Linked DNA regions of Mus musculus. The main gene of each other region encodes a partner of the protein of the gene in region 5 in a complex. Links are inferred from orthologs where the notes say so. Each region holds a gene or a part of one and is shown on either strand. Other genes may lie near its edges.

Region 1 (4,450 bases), on a different chromosome or scaffold from region 5:
GAATCCTGGCTTTCAGTCACTTCGTACTTTCAGTCACTTCATACTCTAATGACTATGACATTAACATGCTGTTTTTACTCATAAACTGCAATTCTGAGTCTGAATGCTGTATTTTAACACAATTTAAAATAATTTGCTTTGTCTTTATTTACAAAAGTAACTAAGGGATGAGGGAAACACCCAAATATCTTGGAAGACAGATAATGAGATCCATGTATAGCTAACCATAAAAAACAGAGTAATGACCTCTTTAAAAATAAAACCAGTTGTTCCTGTCTAGTATGTTTAGCATGCAAATGCTTTTAAAGTCAAATTTTATCATGACAGTTCATGCTTAAAGTTAGCAGGAAAAAACTTTGGAAGGCGATACTGACTGAAACTTTGGTGCGTAAATAGCTCTAAGTTTTTACAGCTAGGATTCAAATCCATGCTAAAACACTAGTGAATAGCCCTGAAAGAAAATGGCTAGAAACCCTGGCTCACCAGAGACATTAAGAACAGTCACTTATTTGCGACAGCATCTGCTCTAATCTGCAAGGCATTTGCAATACTTCAATATGGGCTTCCATATAAATAGAAGCTATTTGTTATTCAGAGGAGACAGTGCAAAAAGCCAGCTATTTTCTTTCTAAACACTCCTTGGTGTGAGGTAAACAGTCTGAAACACACAAGAGCAAACCACCAGCCTCTACCACAGACTGGGGAACAGGAAGACGCTTGCTTTTCTTTACCAGTATCAGGAGCAACTCCTGGGAGTTAAGCACAGCAGTGGGTGCCAATATATATTTGCAAGTTAACTACTAAGTGCTAAGTTCTGGTGCATATTAATGTAAGGGGTAAAAGATTAAAAAGTCGGGCTGTTGAGATGGCTCAGTGGATAAGAGCACCCGACTGCTCTTCCAAAGGTCTGGAGTTCAAATCCCAGCAACCACATGGTGGCTCACAACCATCCGTAAAGAGATCTGACGCCCTCTTCTGGTGTGTCTAAAGACAGCTACAGTGTACTTACATATAATAAATAAATTAAAAAAAAAGATTAAAAAGTCAAAAGTAAACAATAAATTGTAACAAACATTTCAAGTCTAAGAATTCTTACACTTACACACATGAGGGGTGGGGTGGGGGTAGGGGAAGACAGGCAGGTTCGAGCAAGTTCTTAGTAGGTTAAAGGTGTCTGCTCCCAATCTTGATGACCTGGGTTTGATTCCTGGTTCGCACATGGCATAAGTTAAGATGACTACCTCCACCTGTTCTCTGATCCCCCACCCCCACCCCCGCCCCCACCCCCCAACAGCATCCTATCCTATAAATAAATAAACGTTACAAGAAGCATTTGTGAGAAAGGGCCTTCCTTTTGGAGGGGGCATGGGTTTGCAAAGACCATGAGTCAAAATGATGAGAAGGAATAGTTTTGATCATGTATCTTCCAAGTATTGTATTTATTAGTTTCAGTACTATTCCTCCCCCAGGCCCAATTTTACGCGTTCTTAGAAAAAGTGATTTAGCAAAAGGCAAATAATGTACATTGACAGTACCAAGGATATGGTGTTAAAAATGTCCTCATCGCAAAGAGGACTACTTGTGAAACAGTCATGAAACCCCCACATAGCAGTTCCCTGGCTTCCCAGGGAATAGTTTCAACCATCTTTAGTCATGGAAGCAGCACACTTGATACCGACCCAGCAAAGTTTTCAGTTGGCCCTTACCATCTCTTTACTCTCCCCATCCCCCTCCCTCCACTTCCCTGATGTTCTTTCCTGGCATACAAAATATAGGCCAATGAGCAGTGGGTGGGTGAGGAGGATGTGAGAACAAATTTGAGAAGTAAAAAAGGGAGCAACTTAACCAGGACACGACATGAATGAGACTGAAGGGTCTAATAAGGGCAGGCAAGTGAATATCAGAGACTGAAAGAAACCGAAGGTGCTTTCCTAGGCTGCAGTGCGTGGTATATGGATGTAGGGTTAAGTAGAGGTCAGACTACCTACCACTCGTCAGAAGCTGGGCTGCTTTGGGTGACTTCTAGTGTCTCTTCCGACTCTGAAATGTCAGGATTTCTTTTTCACAAAGGAGAACGTACGGATGGTGGAAGCCCACTGACTTGGAACCCTCAAGTAGCAGCCTTGGCGGCTGACTCCCCGATACCACTCCTACGTCTCCCTCCCACACGTGCCCACCCCGCCCCCTTTCAGTATCAGCACCTCCACGTGCAAAATGCCTCTCGGCGCTGGCTCTACAATGGTGGGCTCCGTCTCCAGCCAAGCCCCGAAACTCTGTATGCTCCTGCCCCCACACCCCCGAGAAACCACTCTCCCACCCTTGGCAGCTAAAAAAGGCAAAGTCTCCTATCTAATCTTTCCCTTCAAGCAGAACGGGGTTGGGAGGGAGCAGAGGAAAAACTTTCTTATGTTTTTTTTTCTCCCTAAGAGAACCCTAAGTCAGGGGTTGAGGGGGGGAGGGGAACCCCTGAACGTTTAACGGCCAGTAGGGGGAGGGGAGCTCCGGAGACGGAGGGGGCGTGGGATGAAGAAGCAGGCCCGCGAGTGGGGTCCCCGAGCTGCGGCGTTCCGGGGGCCGGGCAGCCGCAGGCGTGCCCCCCCCCCTCAAACCTGGCACACAAAGCGGCCGCTGCGCTCGGCTCTCACCAGATCCTTTGTGTTTTCCATCAGGGCCTCATGGGTAGGGGCCGTCCGTGCTCCCCGAGCCCGCGGCGCCCCCTCCCCCCCCGCGAGCAGGGGGCCGGTGCCTCTCCCCGGGACTGCGGCGACTACAGGGGGGACCCCCGGCTGGGCCAGGGCCAGCGACAGCAGTGGCAGCCCCCGGATTTCCCCCCTTTTAACTCGGGTGGCCCCAGGATATCAACAACATTAGCATAGCCCTCCCTCCCCAGCGCGCCTGCGCCGTGACCCGCGCCCCGATTGGCCCACTTCCCCCACGTACCCTCCTCTCTCCCCTCCAGCGTGGGACCCTCGGCAGGCGCCGTACTCTAAGGACCGTACCAAGACCACAAGTCGATGAGGTAATTGAGGGCGCGCGGCACGACGCGGGGCTCAGAATCAGCAGGGCGAGAAGTTTCTTTCAGCCACTTCCATTTGGACTCCGGCCTCCCCGAGTCCCTTCCAATATGTTGCCTCCGAGAAGTTGTGTTGGGAAAAATTTCCACTCCAGTCACGCCGCTTCCCCCTCCACCCGGAAGATCGGCCTTCCCTGAGGAACTCCCACATGGGGCGGGGCCGCCGGACGGAGTGGGAGTGACGTAGCGCGCGAGCGCCGGTCACGTGGCTTGCGGCGGCGCAGACTCCTTCCGGCTCCCCGGGGCCGGGCCGAGGAGAAGAGCGAGCCGCCCCGGCACATGCGCAGTGGTACTCCACGTGAACGTCGGCGTTTTCCCCTCAGCCCTGAGGATGCCGCCCGAACGCAAGAGCCGGACGAGACGAGACCGGAGAGCCGGCGCAACGCCGGGGAGGAAAGCCAGACCCGGGAGCGGCAGCACGCCCGCAAAGGCCGCCCGTTCATCCCAACGGACACAGCCGGCCGAGCCGAGGGCGGCCCCTAGCGCGGGATCCGCGGCGGCGGCGGCAGAGGAGGAGGAGAGCCGGCTCCGGCAGCGGAACCGCCTGACGCTAGAGGACGATAAGCCGGCCGCCGAGCGTTGCCTGGAGCAGCTCGTCTTCGGCGATGTCGAGGACGACGAGGACGCGCTGCTGCAGCGGCTGCGGAGCTCGCGGGTGAGGAAGGCCTGCCTGCCTGCCCGCCTGCCTGCCTGCCGAGCGGGCACACGCTCTGGCGGGGCGCGCGGCGGGAGGCGAGGCCCCGGGGGCGGAGCCTGGAGGTGGGGGGGACCTGTGGCGGCGAGTGCTCAGGTGGGAGGGACCGGCGACCGCGGGCGCCGAGGGGCGCCGTCCGGCTCTTTCGCCTCGGGTTCTGGGCTGCTGGCTGGCGAGGGCGGGGACGCTGCCTTTCTCCGCCCCAAAGGGGCTGCGGCGCTTCGCATCCAGCAGGCGCTCAACTGTCGGCTTGGTTTGCCAAAGGATGTCTGCAAAGTAGAGTCGCTCATCTTCGGGCTCTTACACCCTCTGCTGGAACCACAGGGGTGACCGTTTGATCACCTGTCGCGACTCCGCGTAGTGGATGGAACCAATACGTGGGCAGAAGGCGTAAAGCTGCATTTTAATAACATCGCGGGGTGATACCCACGCCCAGCTTTTGAGAACGATCAGTGTGTATTCATCTCTAACCTTTCTTTGGTTGCTAGCTCTTGTAACAATTGCAAATCCTTCCTGATTGATGCTCTTTGCGCTATTATTTTTGTTCTATACCTGGTCCCTGGACTAAGGGTAGAGACACAGCAGTGGAGGAATCCCACAAGAACCCCTCTTGGAACTTGTGTTAGTAGTGGTAAAAAAGCAAGATAAAAGAGACAAGACTAGTAAAGTTAAAGTATGTTGGT
Region 2 (4,480 bases), on a different chromosome or scaffold from region 5:
TCTTCTGAATGAACAAGTACGCGCAGCATAACTCAACCACTATACCACCTCTCTAGCCCTGTGGCACAAGCCTTTGATCTCAGCACTCAGGAGGCAAAGGGATCTGAGTTCGAGGCCAGCCTGGTCTACAGACTGAGTTCTAGGACAGCCAGGGCTACATGAAGATACCCTGTTTTGTACTTTTCATCTCCCACCAAAAAAAAGATAAAAATAATATTTTGAAGGGAGAAAGGATTTGTTTTAGTTCACAGATCTTGGTATAGTTTATCACAGAAGGAATTGCAACACATGGCAACTAAGAAGCAGAGAAAAAGGAATCTAAAAGAAATAATTACATAGTTTCTGTTGTTATTGTTATTTTGTGACAGAGGCTGGCCTTGGATTTACTTAGTAGATGACTGTGGATCTGCCCCTCTCTCCCTTCTGAGGGCTATGATTAAAGGAATGTTGGATCTTTCAGGAACATTAAACAGAAAAAAAAAGTTTTGGTTTTGTTTTTAATTTACTTATTTTGTTTTTGCATATCCGTGTGTTTTGCCTGCACGTACGCACACACAATGCATCTGTGCCTGTGGCCTGTGGAGTCCGGAGGATGCCTCTGAATTTCCTGGCATTGTAGTTATGGGTGATTATGAGCCACTATATGGGTGCTAGAAATCGAACCAGGGTGGAACCTCTGCTAGAGGTCATTGCCTCTCCATCCCCTCACACTTAAAAGAACATTTTAAGTAGATTCCTGTAGGAAAGGAGAGGCCTTGCTGGACAGTTTCTGATAATTGTGTTTCTTTAGGCCTGTGTTATTTTTCCTCTAAGGTGTCAATTTTGTTTGTTTGTTTTTCTGTCTTTTGGAAACAGTCTCTCCCCACCCCACCCCCCTTTCTGTGTAATCCTGGAACTCGCTCTGTAGACCAGGTTGGCCTCGAATTCAGAGATCTGCCTGACTCTGCCTTCCAGTGCTGGGATTAAAGGCGTGTGCCACCGCGGCTGGCTCTAATATTCCAACTTTTTAGCAGTGACAAATGACCTCAGTATCAACTCCTCCTGGACAGTTTTATTTAAAGGCTTCTGACTCAACGTGCTAAACTCAACTCTGCTTTCAGAGCCGTTCCCCCCTTTATGTTGGAAGTTAAAATACCTTCTTTATCACGCTCTGGTTCTACAAGCAGTTCGGGACGGGGAGGTGTCACCAACACGCTGTTCGCGCTCGCGCCCCTGCTTACACTTTAGCCGCAGAGCAGAAGGCTTGTGCTTTAAGACCACCGAAAGCTCTGGGTGCAGTGTGTTGCATGACCCACTTACAACTTGGGGATGCCAACGACGCCTTTTCCCTTCCTTTTAACCCTGAAGCCAGAAAAACCCCAAACAAACAAAAACAAACCCAACAGACACCCAAACCGTCCTACTACCAAGGGGAAAGCGCGCCAATCACACAAAGAAAAGGAGGGGGGCGACTGGGATTCAAAATCATTTCTCCGGGACGTACATCCTCCCGAACCTATCGGAATTAACTGCGCGCCTAGTCAGAGCCAATAGACACTGAGTTTCTGGTCCAGGTCCCCCCTAAAGACAAATGGACAACCCTCTAGCCCAATGGAGTCGTGTGACGCTAAGGACTCGACCAATCCCGTTGGGAGGTGGGTGGAGTGTAGGCTAGGGGGGGTTGGCGGTGCCGTGTCATGGAGGCTCAGTCTCGCAGCAGCCATTGAAGGGGAAGGAACTGCGGGCGCGCGCGTGTCTCTCTCCCTCACTCTCTCTGTGTGAAAGTGTGTGCGTGCCCGAGTGTGCGCGCGCGGGTGTGTGGACTCGGAGGTGGGGGCAGCCGAGTTAGTCCCAAGTCGTCGGACTCCATTTGCTATTCTTTTCTTTCTCTCCCACACCCGTGTGGTAGTGGGCGTTCGTCTTTGCGTCTCTTTTCATTCATCTCCAGACCTTTAGAGGTTTTTTTAGGGTTGGGGATAGTGGGGAGGGCAGGCGAGGGGAAAGGAGGAGGACATGGAGATGAAGAAGAAGATTAACATGGAGTTGAAGAACAGAGCCCCGGAGGAGGTGAGATGACTCAGCCCCCATAGTCCCCTCCCGCCCTGGATCGTGAGGGGTGGGCTTCGGGGGTCCGGGTGGGTGCGCAGGGCGGGCTGGGAAGCGCGCCCCCACTTGGGGTGGAGGCGGGGTGTTTATTTTAAGTTTTAAATCACCAGGCTCTTGTGCTTAAAATGGCGAAGGGCTTAAGTTTCTAGGGGCATTTTCGTGAGCGCGCGGGGGCTCAGCCCCATGGCGTCCTCGCAGACTGGTGGCCCGGCATCGCGGGCGCGGGCGGCGTGGGCGCGACCCCCGGGTCCTCGCCACCTGCGAAGTTGGTGTAACTTTCCCGCGGCGCCGCCACTCGGCCGGCCGCGGCCCCGGGTGTGGGACTCGCGCCGATCTGTGCCCCACGCTCCCTCCGACCGTGCCCGCTCGCGGGCAGCACGCGCCGCGGCCGGGGCCGCAGCGGAATCCCGGGACCCGACGGCGCGGGCCGCGATCCGCGTGGCGCGCGGACTTTTACGCAAGCTGGAGGCTTGTGCGAGCCTCGCTGCGCTCAGTGCGGTCGTAGGGAAGAGTCCCGAGTCTTGAAGGGGGCCCGGGAGGCGTCGCCCCGACTCCCCGCCGTCGGATTCCCTAGCGGTTTACGCCAGGTCCGCGGGTCTGGAGATTGGCCGCGGCGGGCGGGGACCAGGCTCGCTGATTCGCGGCCGCGGCGTGAAATCGAGGGACAAGGGGTCCGCGCCGCCGTGGTCCCTTGACGCCCGCTCAAAGGCGGGCATCTGCCGGGCCTCCACAGTTATCATGCAGAGCCAACGGTCCCTGAGCCCTGCTGATTTTCGTGGTTCCTTTGCGGGTTTTGGTGACTGGAGGCGAGAGAGAGGTGGTGGAAACATTGTTGCTGTGAGGGTTATCTCTGGGAGCAATGGAAGTTTTCTAGAGCTTCTTAGAAGATTCTAGAAAAACTCAAAAGTTGAAAGCTGTCAGCAGGACGTGGTGAGTGATATCTGTAATTCTGTATATCTGTAAATCTGTACTTCTCATATCAAGAAATTCCCAGCCCTTGGGAGGGAGGCCGAGGTAGGACGCTGGTTGCAAGTGGGACTCTGTCAAACAAGGCAAAGCAAATCAAAACAAGCAGTTTCTCAGAAGTCTTGTGGAGCAAAAATGGGTCGTCCCCTCCGCCCCATCCTTTCACCTTCAATTTGGAGGATTGCTTGACATGCCTTTTTGCAGTCTCTTTCCTTTGGTGTGGTGTGGTAACAGTTAAGTTTATATAGATAGTTTATAAGGCACTCCCATTTATTTACTTTCTCCTTGGGAAAATGTAAGCTGGGTTGTATTGTTCTAGAATCCAAATTAGCAAATAGGAGTAAAGTTGAAGAGCTGGGATTCTGACACTAGGTCTACAAAACTCTTGCTGAGCTCTAAGAAGTCTCTGGTTAAGACCAGAATCCAAAGGCTTAAGAATTGCTTGGCGTGGTAGGCATTTAATTCAAGGCAGAGGCAGGCAGATCTTTTTGAGTTTGAGGCCAGTTTTGAGTTTGACTACAGCTGTCTCAAAAACGAACAGCCAGACGGTGGTGGCGCATGCCTTTAATCCCAGCACTCGAGAGGCAGAGGCAGGTGGATTTCTGGGTTCAAGGCCAGCCTGGTCTACAGAGTGAGTTCCAGGACAGCCAGGGCTACACAGAGAAACCCTGTCTCGAAAAACCAAAAAAAAAAAAAAAAACAAAAAACAAAAAACAAAACAAAACAAAAACCAAATGAACAAGTCGGAGATAGTGTCCCACGAGCTGTTAATCCCAACAGCCAGGAGGCAGAGGCAGGCAGATGGATTTCTGTGATTCAGAGACCATGCTAGTCTACAGAGCAAGTTATAGGACAGACAGGGCTACACAAAGACCATGTCTTAAAACAAAACAAAACAAAACCAAAACCCAAACAGACTTATCAAAATGTCCCTACCTGACACTAATGGTGTGACGTAATGCAAGTCATTTTGCATACCTAGGCTTCCCTGAGGCTATAACAGGGATATCTTTGTACCATTTCTGCTCATTTAAATAATGCCAAAGTTACACTCAAGTAGGGAAGATGACAGTCCTTGTTGCCTTTAAATAGACATTTTTTTTGCTCTGGGAATAGAGAACCAGGGTTTGCTTTTGTGATTACATCTATTCAGGTGCATAGGGTAAGTTTTGTTACTATATCTCAGATCTGTGGCTCAGTGGTTATGAGCCACCACTCACAAGGTGGCTTACAAACTCCCAGGAGTCCAACTCCTTTTCTGGCCTCTGAAGGCACTGGGCACATATGAGGTTCATATGAGGAAAAATGGATACACATTAAAAAATAAATAAATAAATTTACTGCCCAGAGATATTAAGAAATCCCCTTCTGGGCCGGGCGTGGTGGTGCACGCCTTTAATCCCAGCACTTGGGAGACAGAGGCAGGCAA
Region 3 (4,328 bases), on a different chromosome or scaffold from region 5:
AGAACAAGGGGGAAATGAGAAAAACAAAAAACCCTGAGCCATATATCTGATTCATGAATTTTTGTGATGTGGTCATTCATGGATTTTACATCCTTTCACCTTTTACTTCAGTACCACTGTACTCAGATAGTCCCAAAGGTCCAAGGCAAGGGCCTTCTCTTTGAGGCTTTCCCATTTCAGATCTCTCTGGCCTCTGCTTTGCCAGTATCTATAGATCTACTATGGATCAACTCTCACTTATTCTCTAAATTGCCTCTCTGCCAGGAAACTGCCTTCCCCTTAAACACAGTCCTTACAAAGGAGAGAAATTAAGGCAATTATAGAATTCCTTTAAAAATGTCGCTGTGAAGAGACTGAGGCACACCCCTTCCTTTCATAGGTTCATGTAACCAGACTCCAATTGTACTTTTGTGTGTGTCACAAGCCCTTTAAAAGTGAGGGGGGCACATTAATTAGACCATGTTTTCATCTCTTGGTCTCTGCCTAAAATCAAGTACATATCAGCTTTCTCATATGGATACTGGAACATTCTACATGTCTAAAAAAATGAACATTGAGGAAAGATCTCATATCCCAGGCTAGATGCAAACTTCCTAGATAGCTGAGGTCAACCTTGACCTTCTGACCCCCCTGCCTCTATCCTCTAATAGATTGTAAGCATGTGCCACTGTCTGGGCCTGGTCTGGGCAGTGCTGGTGATTCAAACCTGGAGCTCCATGTATGCTGGGGAAGCAACTTTACCAACTGGGCTACACTCGCAACCCAACTGATGGTCTCCAGTCTGAACAAAGGAGGAAAATTACATAAAGATTGCTTAGCATGCTGGATATGGTAGCTAAAATTATAGTTCTTGGAAATTTCCTCATAAGGAAATAGCCTTAAAGCTATTTTTTAAAGATTGATTGGAAAAACCAGAAGTCTTAATTTCAGAAGTCAGTCCTAGTAGTTAATGGCTGCTTCTGGAAAATGAGAGAAACCAACAATATTAATTAAAAAAATAATTCCAAGAAAATATTATTTATTTCTCTACAAAAATGTGCTTTTATATATACATAAAATGTTTCATGACTATTAAAGCCATATAAGTATTATTACAGGAAATACTTTTATGAAGACATCTTGGAACAAAGGAAGTTTCTTGCTCAGAATTACACAGAAAGTCGAAGAGCCAGCAATCAAATCCATCAAATCTGTATTTGCTGTAGAGAAAAATAATGTAATATTTGGAAGTGTGAAGCCTTCATAGAGCACTAATTTTTAATTAAGAGAATAAGATTACGCATGACTATATTGTTTATCCTTCCCTTTTCAGAATTTAAAGCACTTTCTCAGATGGCAGCTTATTAATCTTCAAAATACTGCTACACATCTAAGAAGGTTGTGATATAGCTGGTCTGTAAACTGAGGCCAGAAGGAAGGCACTTACCCTGTATTCTGCAACCAGGAATGGTTCTGCAACCAGGGTCAGATCTCCTGATCCTTACTGTATAGCAAACTTAGCTTTTCTGATGATGACCTAGAAGGTCAAACAAAGAGATGGAAAAGGACATAAAAAGATATGAGATGGTGACTTTCCTTTCCATCAGTAAATAAAATTTTATCTCACACAAAGGACATCAAAGCTGATAATGTAGAAATTCTATTTTTCTTGTAGTTTTATTTTCAGATAAATGTACTTTCTTGTATGTTTATCAATTTTGGAAAAAAATTAATTAATTTCTATTAAGGATAATGTGAAATAAATAAAATTGTAAAAGAACAGCAGTACAAACGGCTGCGAATCCTTCATCCAGCTCCAACAATTACCAACTGAAGGCCATCTTGTTTCATCTGTAACCCCACCCACTGCTCCCCCCCCCACGGTTTTTTAAGCTATCGGGAAAAAAATGACTTCAGAATTCCAGAATATTTCAAATATATACCATGGGAAAAAAAGACAAATCCAGGAAACCCCATCTGCCCACCCCTCACTTTAAATGATTAATCTAGGGTCCTGATGATACCCCTCCCCTCGCTGTCTATCGCTGAAATTATCCTGAAGCAGACCCTAGTCATCCATGGATTTTGAAGCCATTTTCTGACATCATTTAATCCCTAAGCATTTCTATTTCTTTCCACAAAATAAAGCATTCTGAAAACAGAACCACATCGCCACCATAAGCATTAAAAAAATTAATAATTTGACACCGATTTCATTGAAGAATATTAATCCTGCATTTAAAAATCCCCGATACGTCTTCAAGAAAATTTTACAATTGGTGTGCTCGAATCAGGATTCAAACAAGGCCTACTCCTCGCATGTGCTTCAGGAGGTCGTTCTCAATCGCTTTCCCCCCCTACATCCTTTTTCTTTTTGACTTAATGTGGGAAAATTCCGACCCCCACATTCTATTAGCAATTATGAGCTAGCAATTATTTTTATCAGGAAGGCTTAATAAATGCCTGTCGTCATAATTTCTTCTAAGAAAGAGGATGATGTACAGAAAAAGATACGATATCGAGCAAATTTGCGTAATTTAAAATTTTTCATCGCCTCTAGAAATATCTTTAGTAACAATTGCTACTACCTTTCGGGGACAGGCTTCACACCGAATGCCTCACACGCACTATTTTACTAGGCACATCTGAATCCGCGTCTGAGATAGCTACTATTACCATTTTACAAACATGGAAACCGAGACACAGAAAAGAGCCTTGCCCAAGCTGGGCGTTGGCGAGCAGGAATACGAATTCCGCTTTTCCTGAATGAGAAGGCACGAGTTAATCCTATCCATAAGTCAAGAAGAAAAGAGGAAATCATCTACCCTTCCTCCCCACCCCCACCCCGAAACCTGAAACGAGAATCCAGCTCTCTCCAGCAGCCGACGTGTGATCACTGCTGCTCCTCCAACCGCCATAGTAAAGCCAGGTTTCTCTGGCAACTGATATCCATAGGCAGACACGTCACCCTGGAGGCGGGCTTAGCCCATCAGCCAATCCTAGCCGTCTTGTCTGAGTTTTAGAATGTTCCATACCCAGATGATTGGACAGCCGCCCCCACGTCAGCAGTGACACTCAGCCGCAGTAAAGGCGGGTGCTAGCAACCTGCTTCTTCATGCTTAGGGCCGACTGCAAACCAATTAGCATCCTTCTTCAGTGAGGGCTCCCGCCAATGGCGATGGTTCTTTTAGGATCTTAGCCCGCCCTCCAAGTGCGCTCCAGCCGTTGGGTCAGAAGTCTATAGGGCAGCGCGTTCACGTGGCCCGTCTTCACGACCCAGAGTTCCCCTGACCGTGGGTTTTTTTTTTCCCCCCCTCGCGCTCGCCTTCTCTCCTGCAGGGAGGCATTATGGGTTTGTGGGTCCGCTCCCCTCCCCCGCCCCCGCCCCGCTGGGAAAGGAAGTGCCGACGTGGCTGGCGGAAACAGGCTAGGCGGAAATGAGCTAAGGTTCCCGCGAGTGGGAAGAGCGAGGGCAGACCCGGGGCCACGCCCCCGAGCCTGTTGCGCAACTCGCGGACCTGGGGAGAGAGGAAAAAAAAACACCAACGCCCCCCCAAAAAAACCAAAGGCAAAGGAATGGTGAAGGTTTTGAGGTGTGAGGCGTGTGAGGGTGGTGAGTGCCACTGGGCGGATGCCTGGATGCTTTGGAGAAACGGGGTGTCTGCGCGCACGCGGGCGCAGGCAGGCTCGCGTGGCTGTGGAGTGTGGGTGTGGGCGCACAGCCGCCCTCGTGGCGCTGGCGATGATGGGTGTGCGCAGGCGTGCTGCCCTGGTGGGGACGGGAGGGGCCGTGTGTGAGTGTGTGTGTGTGTGTGTGTGTGTGTGTGTGTGCGCGCGCGCGCGTGAGCGTAGGCGAGGTCCCTCATTTTGGTGGATTTTTCTGCCTTTTTTATGTTTGCAAACTGCATTAATAAAACTGAGAATAACTAGGACAGTGCTAGTATCTAAAGGAAAGGGCTTCTGTAAGAAAAGGCCTGCCGATTTAATCAAATTCCTTTCTTTTCTTTGCCTTTTTTCGTTTTTTTGTTTGTTTTTGAGGCCTGTTGTAACTAGGTAGCCCTGGCTGGCCTGGAACTCGGAGATCCACCTGTCCCTTCACGGCCTTCGAGCGCTGGGATTAAAAGCATGCGCCACTCCACCCAGTCCGATTTAATTTTAGACCCTAGAGATGATCATTATTCCCACATTATAGTCCACCAAAATAAACTTCTTCCATGGTTAAGATTCAGAACTATATTAGTAACGTAAAAGGGCGTTTCTTTCAAGTTTCCAGTTGTACACCCCCTCCTCTCTGTCCCCAAGGCCTCCCCTTTGCCCTTCACCAAATTTACTGCGAATCTCCCTTATGC
Region 4 (2,789 bases), on a different chromosome or scaffold from region 5:
GTGTAAGGATTTTGTTCTGGTATTTAAGAGACTATGTACTGGCTGGTTTTATGTGTCAATTTGACACAGGCTGGAGTTATCATGGAGAAAGGAGCTTCAGTTGAAGAAATGCCTCCATGAGATCCAGCTGTAAGGCATTTTCTCAATTAGTGAACAAGGGGGAAAGGCCCCTTGTGGGTGGGACCATCTCTGGGCTGGTAGTCTTGGGTTCTGTAAGAGAGCAAACTGAGCAAGCCAGTAACATCCCTCCATGGCCTCTGCATCAGCTCCTGCTCCCTGACCTGCTTGACTTCCTTTGGTGATTAACAGCAATGTGGAAAGTATAAGCTGAATAAACCTTTTCCTCCTCAACTTGCTTATTGGTCATGATGTTTGTGCAGGAATAGGAACCCTGACTAAGACAGACTAAGAGAGTTAAATATGGATAACCCAGGTAAGTGTAATAAAAATGATAGACATGAGTGCAGGCATCTTTATGACACCCACTACTTAGTAAATACATGCTACTTAAAAGGACAGAGCAGGAACAGTGATTTACCCCTCTAGGCCCAGCGCTTGGAAGGTTGACATGGGAGGCTTGCTTGAGCCCAGGAGTCTGAAATTAGTCTGGATAAATTAGCAAGAACTTGTGGTTTATTTATTTATTTATTTGTTTTTTTTTTTTTCCAAGACAGGATTTGTCTGTTTAGCCCTGGCTGTCCTGGAACTCACTCTGTAGACCAGGTTGGCCTCGAACTCAGAAATCCCCCTGCCTCTGCCCCAACCTTACACATCAGACAAAAAGGATTTTACCATTTTATTAGATTAAAAAAATGAAGAGCACAAGTAAATGAAATGAACTAGGGAGGAACTGAGGGAAACAAGGGCGAAGGTTGGCAGAAGGGAGGGCGGAGTGGAGAGCCAGGTCAGGAGAGGGACTGTCTAGGGGTCAGGTGTCTCTATTTGATGACAATCTTCTGACGCAAGGCTCGAGGCCCAGAGCCAGGTAGTGGCTCGGGGGGTGGGGGCCCGGGGCCCAGCGCCGAGGCGGTGGGTGGAAGTCCGTGGGCAGTGATGTACTTCTTGTACGCCTCACGGATGATCTTGAAGGCTCTAGCAGTGGCATAGGGTATGTCTGTAACAGGGTCCCGGTACAAAGCTGGACGGTGGGTCACTGGGCAGACCTCCCGCACCGGGACCTTCGGGGGTCGCCCCTGGGGGAACCACTCTTCAAACGTTGCATCATCACTGAACGTGATGAAGGTGCGAGAGCAGTGAGCAGGAGGGGTGGCAGCGGCAGCTCCAGTCCCGGTCCCAGCATGTGGAGCCAGTGCAGAGGCTGTAGGAGCAGGATCAAGGCTGAGGGCAAGAGAAAAGTCACAAAATGCTGCGGAGACAGACAAAGGAAGGTGGTAGGCTAGGTTTGCTGGCTGTGACCTCAGTATTTACCAGGCCATGGGGCTGGAAAGATGGCTCAGCAGTTAAGAGCTGGGCTACTCTCCCAGGATAGAGGTTTGAGGCCTAGCACTCAAACAGTGGCTCACAACCGTCTGTAACTTCAGTTACACGGAATATGTCACCCTCTTCTGGCTTCAATGGGTACCAGGCCAGACAAAGCAGGCAAAACACTGATATACATTAAAATAAAATAAATAAATAAGCAAACAAACAAATAATAAAATAAAATAAAAAGTTGGGCATGATGCTTCACATTTGTGACCCCAATACTAAGGAGAAAGAGGCGGGTAGATCATGAATACTAGCCTGGGCTATATAAGGAGTTCCAGGCCAGCCAGAGCTACAGAGTAAGACCAACTCAAAACAAAACAACAGGAAGTGTCAGAGCCATTTGTCTGCTTCTCAAGTAGAGTAAAAGTCTGCCCGCCAGGCAGAGTCAAGGCAGGTCAGGGTCTGCTGCCAGATTTCCTGGCCTGCTGACATAAAACGTTAGGAAGAGATACACGTAAGGCTTGAGAGGAAGAGGTAAACATTCTGTTAACCTCGGAGGAAGGAACAGGGAGGCCTCAGGATGAGATCAGATACCCTATATACATGGCAGCAATTGTTTCTGCTAGCTTGTTAGTTTTATATCCTGAGACACTGCGGTATCAGAAGGCTACACGCATTACACTTGGGCTACTACAGTACTCACTGACAGACCCCTCTCTTGTCCTGTGTCTGCTGTCTTCTCTTTGATCATCCTCACTCCCCGCTCAGAGACTACTTACCTGGTGCTGGCAGCCAGCAGAGGGAAGGAATGAGCTGAGGTCTGAATGTGTGCAGTGAGAAAAGTAAACTCCTAGAGAAGCCGGGGGCACGGGGTTCACTCACCCTTCCACGTCCACATTTTCCTCCTTGGGGCCGGGCTCCCCAACAAGCGGCACCGTCACTGAGTGGTAGGTGATTATTGGCCCAGGGCACTTCCGCTTCTTGTGAACCTGCTTCTTTTTGTCAGCCTCCAGCCTTTCATAGGTCTCTGCAGGATCGAAGGGAGAAACGACAGAATGGTCAGCTTTCCTTTCCCACACTCTGGCCTGTCATCTACTTAAATTACACATATGTATTTTCAAGAGTGTATGTACATGAACACATGTGTGGAGAGGTCAGATGACAATGTGCTAGGGTCAGTTCTCGGCTTCCATCGTGTGGATTCCAAGAATTAAACTCAGGCTGTCACCAACTGCTTTACCTGCTGAGCTATCACAGCTCTCTGGGCTCTGTCCTGTGATTTTGTTTCTTTGTTTCTTTTTTGGCTTTTTGAGACAGGGTTTCTCTGTGTGGCTTTGGCTCTCCCGGAACTCAGAGATCTG
Region 5 (3,779 bases):
GCCTTGCAATAGCCAGCCACTCGAATGAGGATCCAGTCACTGTTGCAGGCCAATAAGAAAGAACAGAGATCACGGTGTTCTTCTGCCCGTGGTACAGCTCTACAGGCAAGATGAACTAGTGAACACTTTTGCTGGACCAGACCAGTTTTGCATTTCTAATATGCAAGGATTAAAAAATTTTAGAACACAAGTTGCCAATAGCCAACAGTAAGAATAGAAATAACACCTTGCATTTGTGTAAGATTTTAATTTGTTTTCAAGTTAGTTTCATAACTTATTTTACCCTCACAACATCCCTGTGAGGTAGGCTGGACAGGTATCTCAATCTTACTCTTTTTTTTTCAATTATTCTTTTTTTTTGTTTTAAAGACTTGTTTTCATTTTATATGTACGAATGTTTGGCCTACATGTGTATATGTGCACCACAAGTGTACAGTGCCTGTGAGGGCCAGAAAAGGGCCTTGGATTCCTTAAAACTGGAATTACAGGCAGTTGTAAGCCACCAGGTGGTTGTTGGAAACCCAACCCAGATCTTCTCAGAGCAGCAAGCGTTCTTAACTGCTGGGTCACCTCTCTAGTATTCCCACATGTTTTCTTTTGAGACAAGGTCTTACTCTGTGTACTACGTATGCATTGATTCTGCAGGCAATTCTCCTGCCTTTCAACTCATAGTTACTTCTATCACATAGATGGAAAATTAAGGCTCTCAAAGGTTATCCAGTGATCGTAGAACCATAGTTTTTGAGCAAGGTCTTTCCCTCACTTCATTGCTCTACCATGAACAAGGTCAGTCTTTTAACTCATGGAATAAACAAACAAAAGCCTTGGGGCTAGATCTATTGTGTTTATCTATAATCCATAAGCTATTATTGTATCTGGTGGTCACTATTATTGTATGTGGCATATGTATGGGAGCACACATGCCATGGTGCACATGTGGAGTTCAGAGGACACCTCTGTGGAGCATTCTTCTTCTACCTTCAGTGGGGTACTGGGAATCAAACTCAGGTCAGCAGACTACCATGGCAAGTGCCTGTACCCACTGTATCATCTCACCTGCCCTTGCTGCTCTGAGCTGTCTTCCATTGTAAGTTAAGAATTGGTAAAAAGTGGAAGCAAGAAATGAGGAGCAGGTGCATCCTAGGTCTTTACCCCAAGAATATTTCATAGTCCAATCCAGTGATCTTGAAAGTTGCCCCTCCCAACCCCGCCACACTCACACAAGCAAAGAGACCAGAATGCAGAAGACAAAGAGTTTCCTATTCAATGGATAAAAAAAGAACTTCAAGACATTGCCACAGTCTGCATGTTGGATTTCCCTCTGTCACCCAGGCCCAGCAGGAGCTGAGAATCTTTCTGGCAACATCACCACTTGCAGCCATTCAATACTTACAAAGAGAGAGAGAAGGAAGGCAGGAGAGCCCATGGGGACACTGTCCTGTTAGAGGACAAACAAATACTGATCAGGTTCCACAGAAACTCTCAGCCACAAGTATCCCAAACCTCAGGACAGAGACAAAAGCACCATACACACAAAACAAAGACAAAATTTTAAAACTCAAGAACAAGAGGAAAGAGATCCCACAGCCATCTAGCCGTATCTAGCAGCCAACTGCTGTGAACTAATCTATCCCCAACCCCGACAGCACTCTCCCGGAGGGTTAATAATTCACTCACTGGGCTCTAACTATCTCCCATGGAACTGGTACTTTCAGTCACAGCAGCTTTCTTCAACAGTTAGACAGAAGCAAGCCATCGCCATTCTAACATCCATGCAGATACCACTGGCTTACAGAAGGTTAGCAGTATTAGAGTAACTTAAGGTTCTCTGGATGTTTTGAACTTTATTTTGGTCTGCTCACCTTCTCTGAAGCATCTTGTTTTCGGGTAGAGTCTCTCCCCCGGAGACTTTTAGCACTGATTCCAGACTCAGATGTTTGCATAATCAACTGTGTGGCCAAGAATTGCTGTAGGGAGAAGAAAAACGGGAGGCCATAAAGATCCAATCCAGTAGGAAAGAACTAACATACTTCACATTTTATAAACAGAACTTATTCAATTCTTTTTGGCTTACTAAAAGGCTAATTTCTAGCTATTCCTAAAGAACTTAGAAGTGAAAAGAAGCTTTAAAATAAGCCAAAGAGCCTTCAGCAATTAAAGTCACATGGCAAACTTAACAAAGATACACTACTGCTTCCAGATCAACATCACAAAGGGTGTGCAGTGTTATAACTGTAAGATTGAAGTAGACTACTTGTGATAACTAGGGGTTATAAAGTCTTGGTTGAATACATGTGCCACAGTATTTTATGTAACTAATAACACTAGCCCTTTATACATTGATCTGAAAACTTCCAATGGGGCTAGGGATACAGTTTAGATGGACAGTGCTGGTCCAGCAGACATGAAGCCCTGGGCTTGACTCTAACGTCGTCCGTCAGCTGGGTGTGTGGAGGGTGTGACGTAGCTCACAGGCACCAGATTTGTGACCTGTGAAGCACTGGTTTATTAGATTCTTGCCAACAAGAACAACAGCAACAACAAAAACCTTCAAAAACGGAATTCATTTGCCCAAGAAAAATACAATTTTTTAAAAGACGTTTATTTTATGTATATCTTCAGGCACACCATAAGAGGGCATCAGATCTCATTACAGATAGTTGTGAATCACCATGTGGTTGCTGGGAATTGAAATCAGGACATGTGTAATAGCAGTCAGTGCTCTTAACCACTGAGCCATCTCTCCAGCCCAAAAAGATAGAATTTGTATCATAATTCTTCCATCAAACCAATCAAATCTATAAAACTTCAGTAAGAAATAAAAATATTTACCAATGAACTCATCAATTCTTCTCTGCATTTCATCCCTACTGAAACAAAAATGAGCATCAATGTACCTGGATCTGTTCCAAGACATCTCTCTGCATCTCTACTGCCATGTGATAGACATCATGGTCTGAGCTATTGTACATAACAGCATTCTGAAACATCAGCATGATGTCACGCTGAAACTCAGCTGTGCTTCGGATCAGTCCATTTTCAATGTTTTTCTTTATAGTTGACAAATCCATAGGCCTAAATAAATAAATAAATAATAAAGGGGTAAGTGGCCACGGAGGAGGATTCACTTGGATTCCCAAGCACAGTATTACTATACAGTCCTGTTCATAGATACCTTCAGTATCAGCTACCAAGATTTAAAAGCTAACCCATTATCCCAGAGCTTATACTCAACTCCCCAAAAAGCCAATCTGCATAATAGGCATCAAGAAAAACAATGATAGGTGCTCATTCTTTTACACTATTAATGACAACACAGTCACTGCAATATAAGCCTTTAACAATCACAGCACTGGGCCGGTGGTGGTGGCGCACGCTTTTAATCCCAGCACTTGGGAGGCAGAGGCAGGCAGATTTCTGAGTTTGAGGCCAGCCTGGTCAACAAAGTGAGTTCCAGGACAGCCAGAGCTACACAGAGAAACCCTGTCTCGGAAAAACAAAACAAAACAAAACAAAAACAAACAAACAAAAACCAAAACAACAATCTCAGCACTGGGGAGGCAGAAGCAGAAATTACTCACTTTCTGTGAGTTTGAGGCTAGCTTGGTCTATAGAGAGTTCCAGGTCAACCAGGGCTATATATAATGAAACCCTGTCTCAAAACAAAACACCACCACCAACAACAAAAAAAGCAAAACAAAAAACCCACCCTTGCTTTAAATAAGGCAAAAATTCACTTAAATCAACACAAATTTTAAGTCAGGTGTGATAGTTGAATG
Region 6 (3,779 bases), about 28 Mb from region 5:
AGGAGTTTTAAGTGTTTCTGAATCATCTAGACACTCATACCCTCTCCCCTGTCTGTCTGTGTCTCTTTTGCTCTCTGAGAGAGACAGTGTGCATCAGGAGGACAAAGAACAACTTGTGGGAGTTGATTCTCTCCTTTTACCACGTGGGCTCTAGGGATAGAATTGGGATGGCATGCTTGGTGGTATGTAGCCTTTACCTATTAAGCCATGTTGCTTGCTAGCCCTTGTATGAGGGTCTCATCTAATTATTGTAGTTTGATAACCCTCCAATTTCAAATGCACAGAACAGATGGATTCTCAACCACTGAGCAAACACTGAAAAGATGCTATTATAGCTTAATAAAAGCCCAGAAAACTATTTGAAACCAGTCCAAATCATGTATTAACTAACGATCATTAAAAACAATTTATCCTACCCCTATGTAGATCTAGCCCTAGACATTCAAAGTCCCCATCACTAAGTCTCCCCAAGCTCCCCTTCTGACACACAGGACAAAGGGGACACAGCATTTACATTACCTTCTTGGAGGCTACCTCACACCCTACTCAGAACACCCTCCATGGGTGCAGAGTTGTGAAATGGCCAAGACTGAGTAGCAAGCTGAAGGGACCCCGAGCAGTGAGAAGCCTTACAACTGGGCACTCTTTGAGGAAGTGAGTACACTCCTGGTACCTTCAGTTGGAATTTCCTATTAAAAAATGTGTATACAATTCACTAATAACTACTTAGAAAAGGAGCCTGGTGGGGGTGTGCATCACTTGTAAGTTTCGATTCAATCAGAGTCAGTAACTGAATAATCAGAAGTGGTTACATTTGAAGCTGACTCCTGTCCATCTGACAGGATGGCAGAGTCAGCACAGCTAAGATCTAGCCTGCTGATGCTTTTGGAGAGGACCTGGCTGACACTCATGAGACCCTCGGCAGATCTAGGCTGTCTCTGGAGAACACTTCGACTCCCATGTAACAAGCAAATAGCTGGATTGTCTTTTCTGTCTTCAGGGGCAGCTAGCAGACCTCACTTATGTTAAATGCACATATGACATAATTTGTAGAGCCACAGAGAGGGCCTCAGATCTCATGAATATCTATCCCAATAAGAAAACAGAGTGTAACTCTATGGTAGCCTGTAGGCATTTATTCTCTAAGTATATTTGAAAATAAACATATTATTTAAAAAGGCCCTACTATCAAATGATGATTATGGAGAAAAGCTGCATAACTATGAAAGGCTTTTTTGGGTAACTTTTGCTAATGTCTACCTTTTAATGATGTTTGGGAGACAAATCAGCAAAGTTTGCAACTGGCACTGACATGCCTCTGTAAGTCATGCCAGCACACCTCGTTCCATAGACTGAAATGCAATCTGGAGGTCTGTCATGCTCTTCAGTGTCTCCACCACAGGAGCGACATGATGTGGGTTGATAGAACATAGCTACTTTCTCCATAAAAATCTCAAAAAAATTTCATACATCTTCAAAAATATTTTTGGGGAACCAATTAAGAGTTTCCACTTTTGAACTCCCCACACCTGTGTCAGTTAAGCCTTCACTACACCAGCTCTTCAGCCTGACTTTAAGGACTATCCAGGACAGAAAAAGAGTAGTAAAATTAGTGGAATTACAATCATTAAAGTCCCCCAAACTACAGAAGCCTGATATAGCTGTCTCCTGAGAGGCTCTACCAGTGCCTGACAAATACAGAGGTGGATGCTCACAGCCAACCATTGGATTGAGCACAGGGTACACAATGGAGGAGCTAGAGAAAGTACCCAGGTGGCTGAAGGGGTTTGTAGCCCCATAGGAGGAACAACAATATGAACTAACCAGTACCCCGAGAGCTCCTAGGGACTAAGCCACCAACCAAAGAGTTCACATGGTGGGATTCAGGGCTCCAGCTGCATATGTAGCAGAGGATGGCCTAGTCGGTCATCAATGGGAGGAGAGGCCCTTGGCCCTGTGTGGAGGTTCTATGCCTGAGTGTAGGGGAATGCCAGAGCCAGGAAGCAGGAATGGTTGGGTTGGTGAGCAGGGGGGAGGGGAGGGGAGGGGATAGGGGGTCTTCAGAGGGGAAAACCAGGAAAGGGGATAACATTTTAAGTGTAAATAAATATCTATCTATCTATCAATCAAAAACACTTTAATTGTAACCTAATTATGTAATTAGGGAAACAATCCTCTTTTAGAAAATCTGTATTAGCCGGGTGGTGGTGGCGCAAGCCTTTAATCCCAGCACTTGGGAGGCAGAGGCAGGCGGATTTCTGAGTTCGAGGCCAGCCTGGTCTACAAAGTGACTTCCAGGACAGCCATGGCTATACAGAGAAACCCTGTCTCAAAAAACAAAAAAGAGAAAAAAAAAAAAAAAAAAAAGAAAATCTGTATTAAAATCATCCTAAAAGAACTTTAATGAAATGATTTTAAAATATTGTAAACATAAGCCAGGCATGGTGGTGCTTGCTTTAATCTCAGGAGCAGAACCAGGCAGATCTCTGAGTGTAAGGCCAGCCTGGCCTACAAAGTGGTTTCAGGACAGCCAGAACTACAGTGAAACCCTTTTTCAGAATACCTACCAAAACAACTACCACCAGTAAAAATACCCCAAAAGATTTCATTTATTGTATGTATGTATGAGTGTGTGCATGCACATGCCACAGCACATGTCCAGAGGCCAGAAGACAAACTGAAGGAGTGGGACCCTTTCCTTCTACCGTGTGGGTCCTGGGCACTGAACTCAGGCTGTCAGGCTTGGCACTCGGGATCTTAATCTGCTGCGCCACGCTGACAGTAAGCTTTTATAATTTTAACAACTCAGATAATGTGGACTCAGTAGTTTAAAATAGAAAGTCACAGGGCATGGCACTGTTTCCAGTGTTTTGGTCACCCTGTAGGGATTATCTAAAAATGTCTCCAAAATATTAAGTCAGCTTCTCTGGTCTTTATTCTGAACGAGTGTCAGTGTAAGTTCACGTGTAACTACTGACTACTGGCCACAAAATTTAAGCAGACCGGATTAGATGTTCAAGTACATACCACTAACAACTTGGGGTCCCTTTTATTTTATTATTTGAAAATCAATCTTGTGGTTCATGGGCTGCCTTAAGGTAACAAATTAAACATTAAATATGTATTAACATACCACATACCACCTCTTTTTGGCTGTGGTTAAGGAAAGATACACACACACAAACTCACAGAGCAACAGCACTACTGAGGAGAATTCAAAGAAATCCTTAAGCATCTCAGTATGAGAATAAAACACCACATCCTCAACAAGATGGAAGGCCCCGCCCTGGTACAGCAATGGGTACCACAGATGAACGTACCACAGTGTGCTGAGCCACTGCTACTTCTGTTCTGGGTGGAGGTGCTGCACGTGTGGGCCCCAGGCTGTGCTGCTCCTGCTCGACTGATACTCCTGTGTAACTTTCTACTGGAGAGTTCACCACTGTCACTGTCAGGCAGGGATGGTGTCCGAGGCCTAAAGTGCCGCCATCTACATGATTTGATATCGACTAGTATCTGACTGAGGTCTTTAGAGGAAGATCTGTCCGAGGTATTGGGTTCTGAGGTATTGGCAAACTGATTGACTGGAGAAGGTTGTGGTGAGGAAAGCATGTCCAAATCCAGGTGGTGAAACATACTGTCATAGTCTGAATGCGCTCTGTCCAGCACGACCCTGTACAAGGAGCAGACACCAGAGATTACATCAAAGTTTCTTCCTTTCTGTTCCGAACGCTTTCCCCTAAAGCTGAACACCAGTACACTGAATAGTTAAAAGTTGC
Region 7 (3,779 bases), on a different chromosome or scaffold from region 5:
TCCTGTATAAAATGGCGAGCTGGAGTTCCTCCTTCCTGCAGTGACAATAGAGTCCCTCTCTATTTGTGCCGACTGCCTCTTCTCTTCATGGCAGCGGTGCACTGCGGACAGAACCACTTCCCCTTCGGCGCTTCGGTCAAGCCAACACACCCATAGTGGAACCACTCTATTGGACACTGGAAGAGAAAATTTAAAAAAAAAAGGGGAGTTGGTATTTCTAAAGAACAGATAATAATAATAAAAAAAATGCTTAGGACACACAGTATTTCATTTAACCAAACTTAGGTCTGTGCGATCAGATTTCTTGGACCCTGGCAGTGACTAAACGTTACTGAGTCTGACAGATGTGCCTCATGGATGAAAACATGGACACCCAGGAAAAGGATGCTTCTTTGATAAGAGAGACGTCATGGACTCTAGTACCTGAGCACTAAAGAATGGACATTTATTTGCTGCCATCAACTTGGACAGCCGCCAGGCGGTGCCATCTTCCAAAGAATAAAGAATATGAATCTTACATGAAGAAGGAAAACATGTAAAAGACTTAAAAATATCCAGCCATAATTGTTCTCTGGAAGTGGAATGAGCTAGCTGTAACTAAAGCCATCAACTGGCTGTGTTTCCTTTCTGGTGCTCTATCCAGAGATATGGAGGAAACCCTCCTCTCTGAAATATTAAAAAATTCTTCACTCCACAGGAAGGCTTGATACCCACAACAGCACTGGAGGAACTACAGGGACCCCAGAGGACACTGCTTTAAAACACCTCCCCACATACACACACAAGTGACTGCACGGGACAGCTGGGGAGGGACTGTGCCCTTCTCAAGAGCACAGTGCACCCACCCTGTCAGGGAAGGAACACACACAACTGTCCTTGTGACTCTTGTTAATATCAGAATTCTGACACCACTGGTGTCACCAAGGTCACAAGTTTCATGCTACTCCTTTGAAGTACAACAGGTACAAAAGGGAGTAGCAGGTACAAAACTGCTGTAGGGCAGTTAAGGAATGAGCCAAAATCCCTAGACAATCAAACAGTATTTAATCAAACATGCATCTTTATCCAAAATTAAATCCCTTTTGTGGTTTGAATATGAAATTCCCCTGATAAGCTCAGTTGGTCCCCAGCTAGTAGCACTGTTTAGGAAGTTTCTAGAACCTTTAGGACAGGGTGCCTTGCTAGAAGTGCTTCACTGGGGTGGACTGGAGGTTTCAAACCCTGCCTCCACTTGTACTTGCTGCCTCCCTTCTGCCTGCCCTGGGTGGGTGAAACAGAATCAGGTGGCTTCCTGACTACCAGGCCAACCTTACACTCCTGCTGCCATGCGTGCCCTGCCAAGATGGACTGTGTTCCCTTTGGAACTGTAAGTCAAGAGACACCCTTCCCTGCCTTAAGTTGCTTTCTGTCACGGTGTTCTTATCAAGTAACTAATACCCTTCCTAGCACAGGAAGCAGGAGTCCTTTCTCAAATCTCCTCTCAGTTTCCCATCAGAGATGGCTTGTACAGTCCAAGCCCCTTGTGGAGAGAATGCCGAATGCTATAATAACGAGGGAAATAACCACACATTAGGTCTTAATTATCCCTGAGCATCCTTTTAGTTTCACTTCTTCAATGTGATAAACAACCAGGACTCTGGTAAATACAGTATCTTAGGCGGAAAGAAAAGAAAGCACTTCGAACTGCCAACAGTAATCCTTGTGAATTTAATCTGAACCTAACACGAGTAGTGCCACCTTGAAACACTGAAGCAGGAAAATCATTAAAGCCATGTAGATGCTTTCATCAGGATAATGTAGTTATCCCAAATGAAAACCTGATTGCCAAACTGGGAAATAGAATTAATAAGACAAATACTCAGTCATCTACACCTTTTTACATCCCAATATAGGAAAATGCAATACTCACATCTTGGTTATCACATCCCACCATCTCTCCATAGGATACCTGGTTCAAAGAAAATTAGATAAACATTACAAGTATGTTACAAGCATTTAAGAAGTTGGCACATTGCATAACCGCACAATATGATCTTCTTCTCTCTGATTCATAAATACTCAGTAGAAAAGCACTGCCTTTAAACTCACAGACTGGCCTTACAGGTAGCTAGTCAACCAGCGCCTTCGTCACGGGTCTCCCAGTCTCTAGCACCATCACAGGGAGGAGTTTCTGCTGTGTAGGCCACAGGGCCAGTGGTGTATTACATCATGCATGCAGGGTACATGTGTTGTGACATCAAATGTCTCACCATAGGTTGTATGGGAAAGTTGGCATTACACGTAATTCATGATTCTTGGTATTTATAGCAAGTATACTACTTTTATAAGACAAAAATTATAAGTAAACCATTCTTGATTTTAGTTAGCATAAAAATGTGCTGATTTTAAAACAGTTTTCTTTCTTGTTTCTTCAGACTACACTTTTATAGACACGCAGTAGATGTTTTTACCTGATTACAGATGCAATACCGAGGTTCATTTGGGTCGTAAGTCCAATCGACTTGACTGTTGGAGTCAGATTCGGGCACTACAGTTGCTTGCTGGGAAACTTCTTGTACTACAGTTGAAGACGATGAACACAGAGATAAGGAGGAAGAGGACGACGAGGAGGAGGAGGACGACGACTGCTGGCTTGAAGACTTGGTGTTGTTTCTGAAAAAATTACAGGCAGATTAGCTGCATTTGTTCACTGGGGCGGTTCCCCGAGAGTGACTCCTCGTCACCGACACAGAAGGAAAGGACACGCTGAGGTCTGACCCTAGGTTTACAATTTTTGTTTTCTGGAGAATAAGTTCCTTTAAGAAGGAAATATTCTTAAAATCTTCTATTTAAAATAAATAGAAGAAAATTCTCTTAAAATGTTTCAACTTTTAAAGATAATTTCTAAATTAAGGTTACTATCTACCATTGACTTAAAATTTTTGGTAGTGTTCAAGAATAATAGTTACACCATCTCACACTGTTAATGTTTTTACAGTAAATTAAAGAGTTCTTATCAAAACCTAAGTACAAATATAGAAAAGTATTTGGCAAAGTCCTAACATCAGTTGGCATGTGTCCTATGCCTATCAAGTATAGCTGGATCTGAGAGTATCAGAATTCAACAACTGTTTACCACCAACTCTATTCCAGAGAACATGCAGAAATTTATTATAAGGAGTTCAACTAAATGTGGGCAATTCATATCAATTTTAAGATGTATAATAGTTCTGTGGAGACTTTACATTGATCATTCTTTCAGGAGATTTTTGTAGAGAAGTAATACATTTAAAATAAAGATAAAATGCATTATTATATAACTAACTCTTTTGGTCTCTCATTTGCACCTTTTTTTCCTCCTTCAGCTCAGACAACAGGGTTTCTAAACACCTAAACTACAAATAGGAATAGTGACACAAAATGATTTATCTGAAAGAACAAAAGAAAGTAAAAAGAAGTCACTTACATACTAACTGAGAACAATTACAAATGACTCTAACAGTTGAAAGACTTCCTTCCTGCCTTCAAGGTGAGGCAGTGCAGAGAGCCAACTGCCTATCCAGTGTTTAGCCTGGATCACTGTACCCTGCTGTGGTTAATCCCTGGAGATGTATGGATACAGCTCCACACAACAACCCTGAACAAAGACACACACTGCCATGGGAAACTTACTTGCTCTTCCTGCCACTCCGCGAGTCCGTGGCGGAGGAACTGGCATTCTGGGTTAAGGTTGTCATGAGTGCCGATGAGGAGGAGTAGCCAGCTGTTTCTCTGGGTATGGAAAATTCTTTTCCCAGCTG

Evidence for each region.
Region 1: Brd8 (region 5) and Mbtd1 share a complex: the UniProt entries of both Homo sapiens proteins name them as parts of the nuA4 histone acetyltransferase complex. The link is inferred for Mus musculus from reciprocal best matches to the Homo sapiens genes BRD8 and MBTD1.
Region 2: Brd8 (region 5) and Anp32e share a complex: the UniProt entries of both Homo sapiens proteins name them as parts of the SWR1-like complex. The link is inferred for Mus musculus from reciprocal best matches to the Homo sapiens genes BRD8 and ANP32E.
Region 3: Brd8 (region 5) and Morf4l2 share a complex: the UniProt entries of both Homo sapiens proteins name them as parts of the nuA4 histone acetyltransferase complex. The link is inferred for Mus musculus from reciprocal best matches to the Homo sapiens genes BRD8 and MORF4L2.
Region 4: Brd8 (region 5) and Vps72 share a complex: the UniProt entries of both Homo sapiens proteins name them as parts of the nuA4-related complex. The link is inferred for Mus musculus from reciprocal best matches to the Homo sapiens genes BRD8 and VPS72.
Region 6: Brd8 (region 5) and Epc1 share a complex: the UniProt entries of both Homo sapiens proteins name them as parts of the nuA4-related complex. The link is inferred for Mus musculus from reciprocal best matches to the Homo sapiens genes BRD8 and EPC1.
Region 7: Brd8 (region 5) and Ing3 share a complex: the UniProt entries of both Homo sapiens proteins name them as parts of the SWR1-like complex. The link is inferred for Mus musculus from reciprocal best matches to the Homo sapiens genes BRD8 and ING3.

What each region holds. Positions count from the first base shown.
Region 1 is NC_000077.6:93,884,612-93,889,061, reverse strand, and holds the start of Mbtd1 (MBT domain-containing protein 1), read right to left. Parts: upstream 2,892-4,450; 5' UTR 2,667-2,891; coding exon of another isoform or gene 2,646-2,666; exon of another isoform or gene 1,989-2,645; intron 1-1,988. Other genes in the region: Utp18 (U3 small nucleolar RNA-associated protein 18 homolog), read left to right, coding at 3,405-3,728. UniProt on the Homo sapiens protein: Chromatin reader component of the NuA4 histone acetyltransferase complex, a multiprotein complex involved in transcriptional activation of select genes principally by acetylation of nucleosomal histones H4 and H2A.
Region 2 is NC_000069.6:95,927,605-95,932,084, forward strand, and holds the start of Anp32e (acidic leucine-rich nuclear phosphoprotein 32 family member E), read left to right. Parts: upstream 1-1,652; 5' UTR 1,653-1,992; coding exon 1,993-2,046; intron 2,047-4,480. UniProt on the Homo sapiens protein: Histone chaperone that specifically mediates the genome-wide removal of histone H2A.Z/H2AZ1 from the nucleosome: removes H2A.Z/H2AZ1 from its normal sites of deposition, especially from enhancer and insulator regions.
Region 3 is NC_000086.7:136,738,379-136,742,706, forward strand, and holds the start of Morf4l2 (mortality factor 4-like protein 2), read right to left. Parts: upstream 2,975-4,328; 5' UTR 2,832-2,974; intron 2,778-2,831; exon of another isoform or gene 2,568-2,777; intron 1,517-2,567; 5' UTR 1,427-1,516; intron 1-1,426. UniProt on the Homo sapiens protein: Component of the NuA4 histone acetyltransferase complex which is involved in transcriptional activation of select genes principally by acetylation of nucleosomal histone H4 and H2A.
Region 4 is NC_000069.6:95,120,928-95,123,716, reverse strand, and holds the end of Vps72 (vacuolar protein sorting-associated protein 72 homolog), read right to left. Parts: intron 2,456-2,789; coding exon 2,311-2,455; intron 1,339-2,310; coding exon 939-1,338; 3' UTR 666-938; downstream 1-665. UniProt on the Homo sapiens protein: Deposition-and-exchange histone chaperone specific for H2AZ1, specifically chaperones H2AZ1 and deposits it into nucleosomes.
Region 5 is NC_000084.6:34,600,810-34,604,588, forward strand, and holds part of Brd8 (bromodomain-containing protein 8), read right to left. Parts: intron 3,076-3,779; coding exon 2,898-3,075; intron 1,968-2,897; coding exon 1,863-1,967; intron 1,439-1,862; coding exon 1,394-1,438; coding exon of another isoform or gene 1,325-1,393; exon of another isoform or gene 366-1,324; intron 1-365. UniProt on the Homo sapiens protein: May act as a coactivator during transcriptional activation by hormone-activated nuclear receptors (NR). Isoform 2 stimulates transcriptional activation by AR/DHTR, ESR1/NR3A1, RXRA/NR2B1 and THRB/ERBA2.
Region 6 is NC_000084.6:6,445,585-6,449,363, forward strand, and holds part of Epc1 (enhancer of polycomb homolog 1), read right to left. Parts: intron 3,674-3,779; coding exon 3,321-3,673; intron 1-3,320. UniProt on the Homo sapiens protein: Component of the NuA4 histone acetyltransferase (HAT) complex, a multiprotein complex involved in transcriptional activation of select genes principally by acetylation of nucleosomal histones H4 and H2A.
Region 7 is NC_000072.6:21,969,980-21,973,758, reverse strand, and holds part of Ing3 (inhibitor of growth protein 3), read right to left. Parts: coding exon 3,652-3,779; intron 2,653-3,651; coding exon 2,451-2,652; intron 1,949-2,450; coding exon 1,910-1,948; intron 177-1,909; coding exon 60-176; 3' UTR 1-59. UniProt on the Homo sapiens protein: Component of the NuA4 histone acetyltransferase (HAT) complex which is involved in transcriptional activation of select genes principally by acetylation of nucleosomal histones H4 and H2A.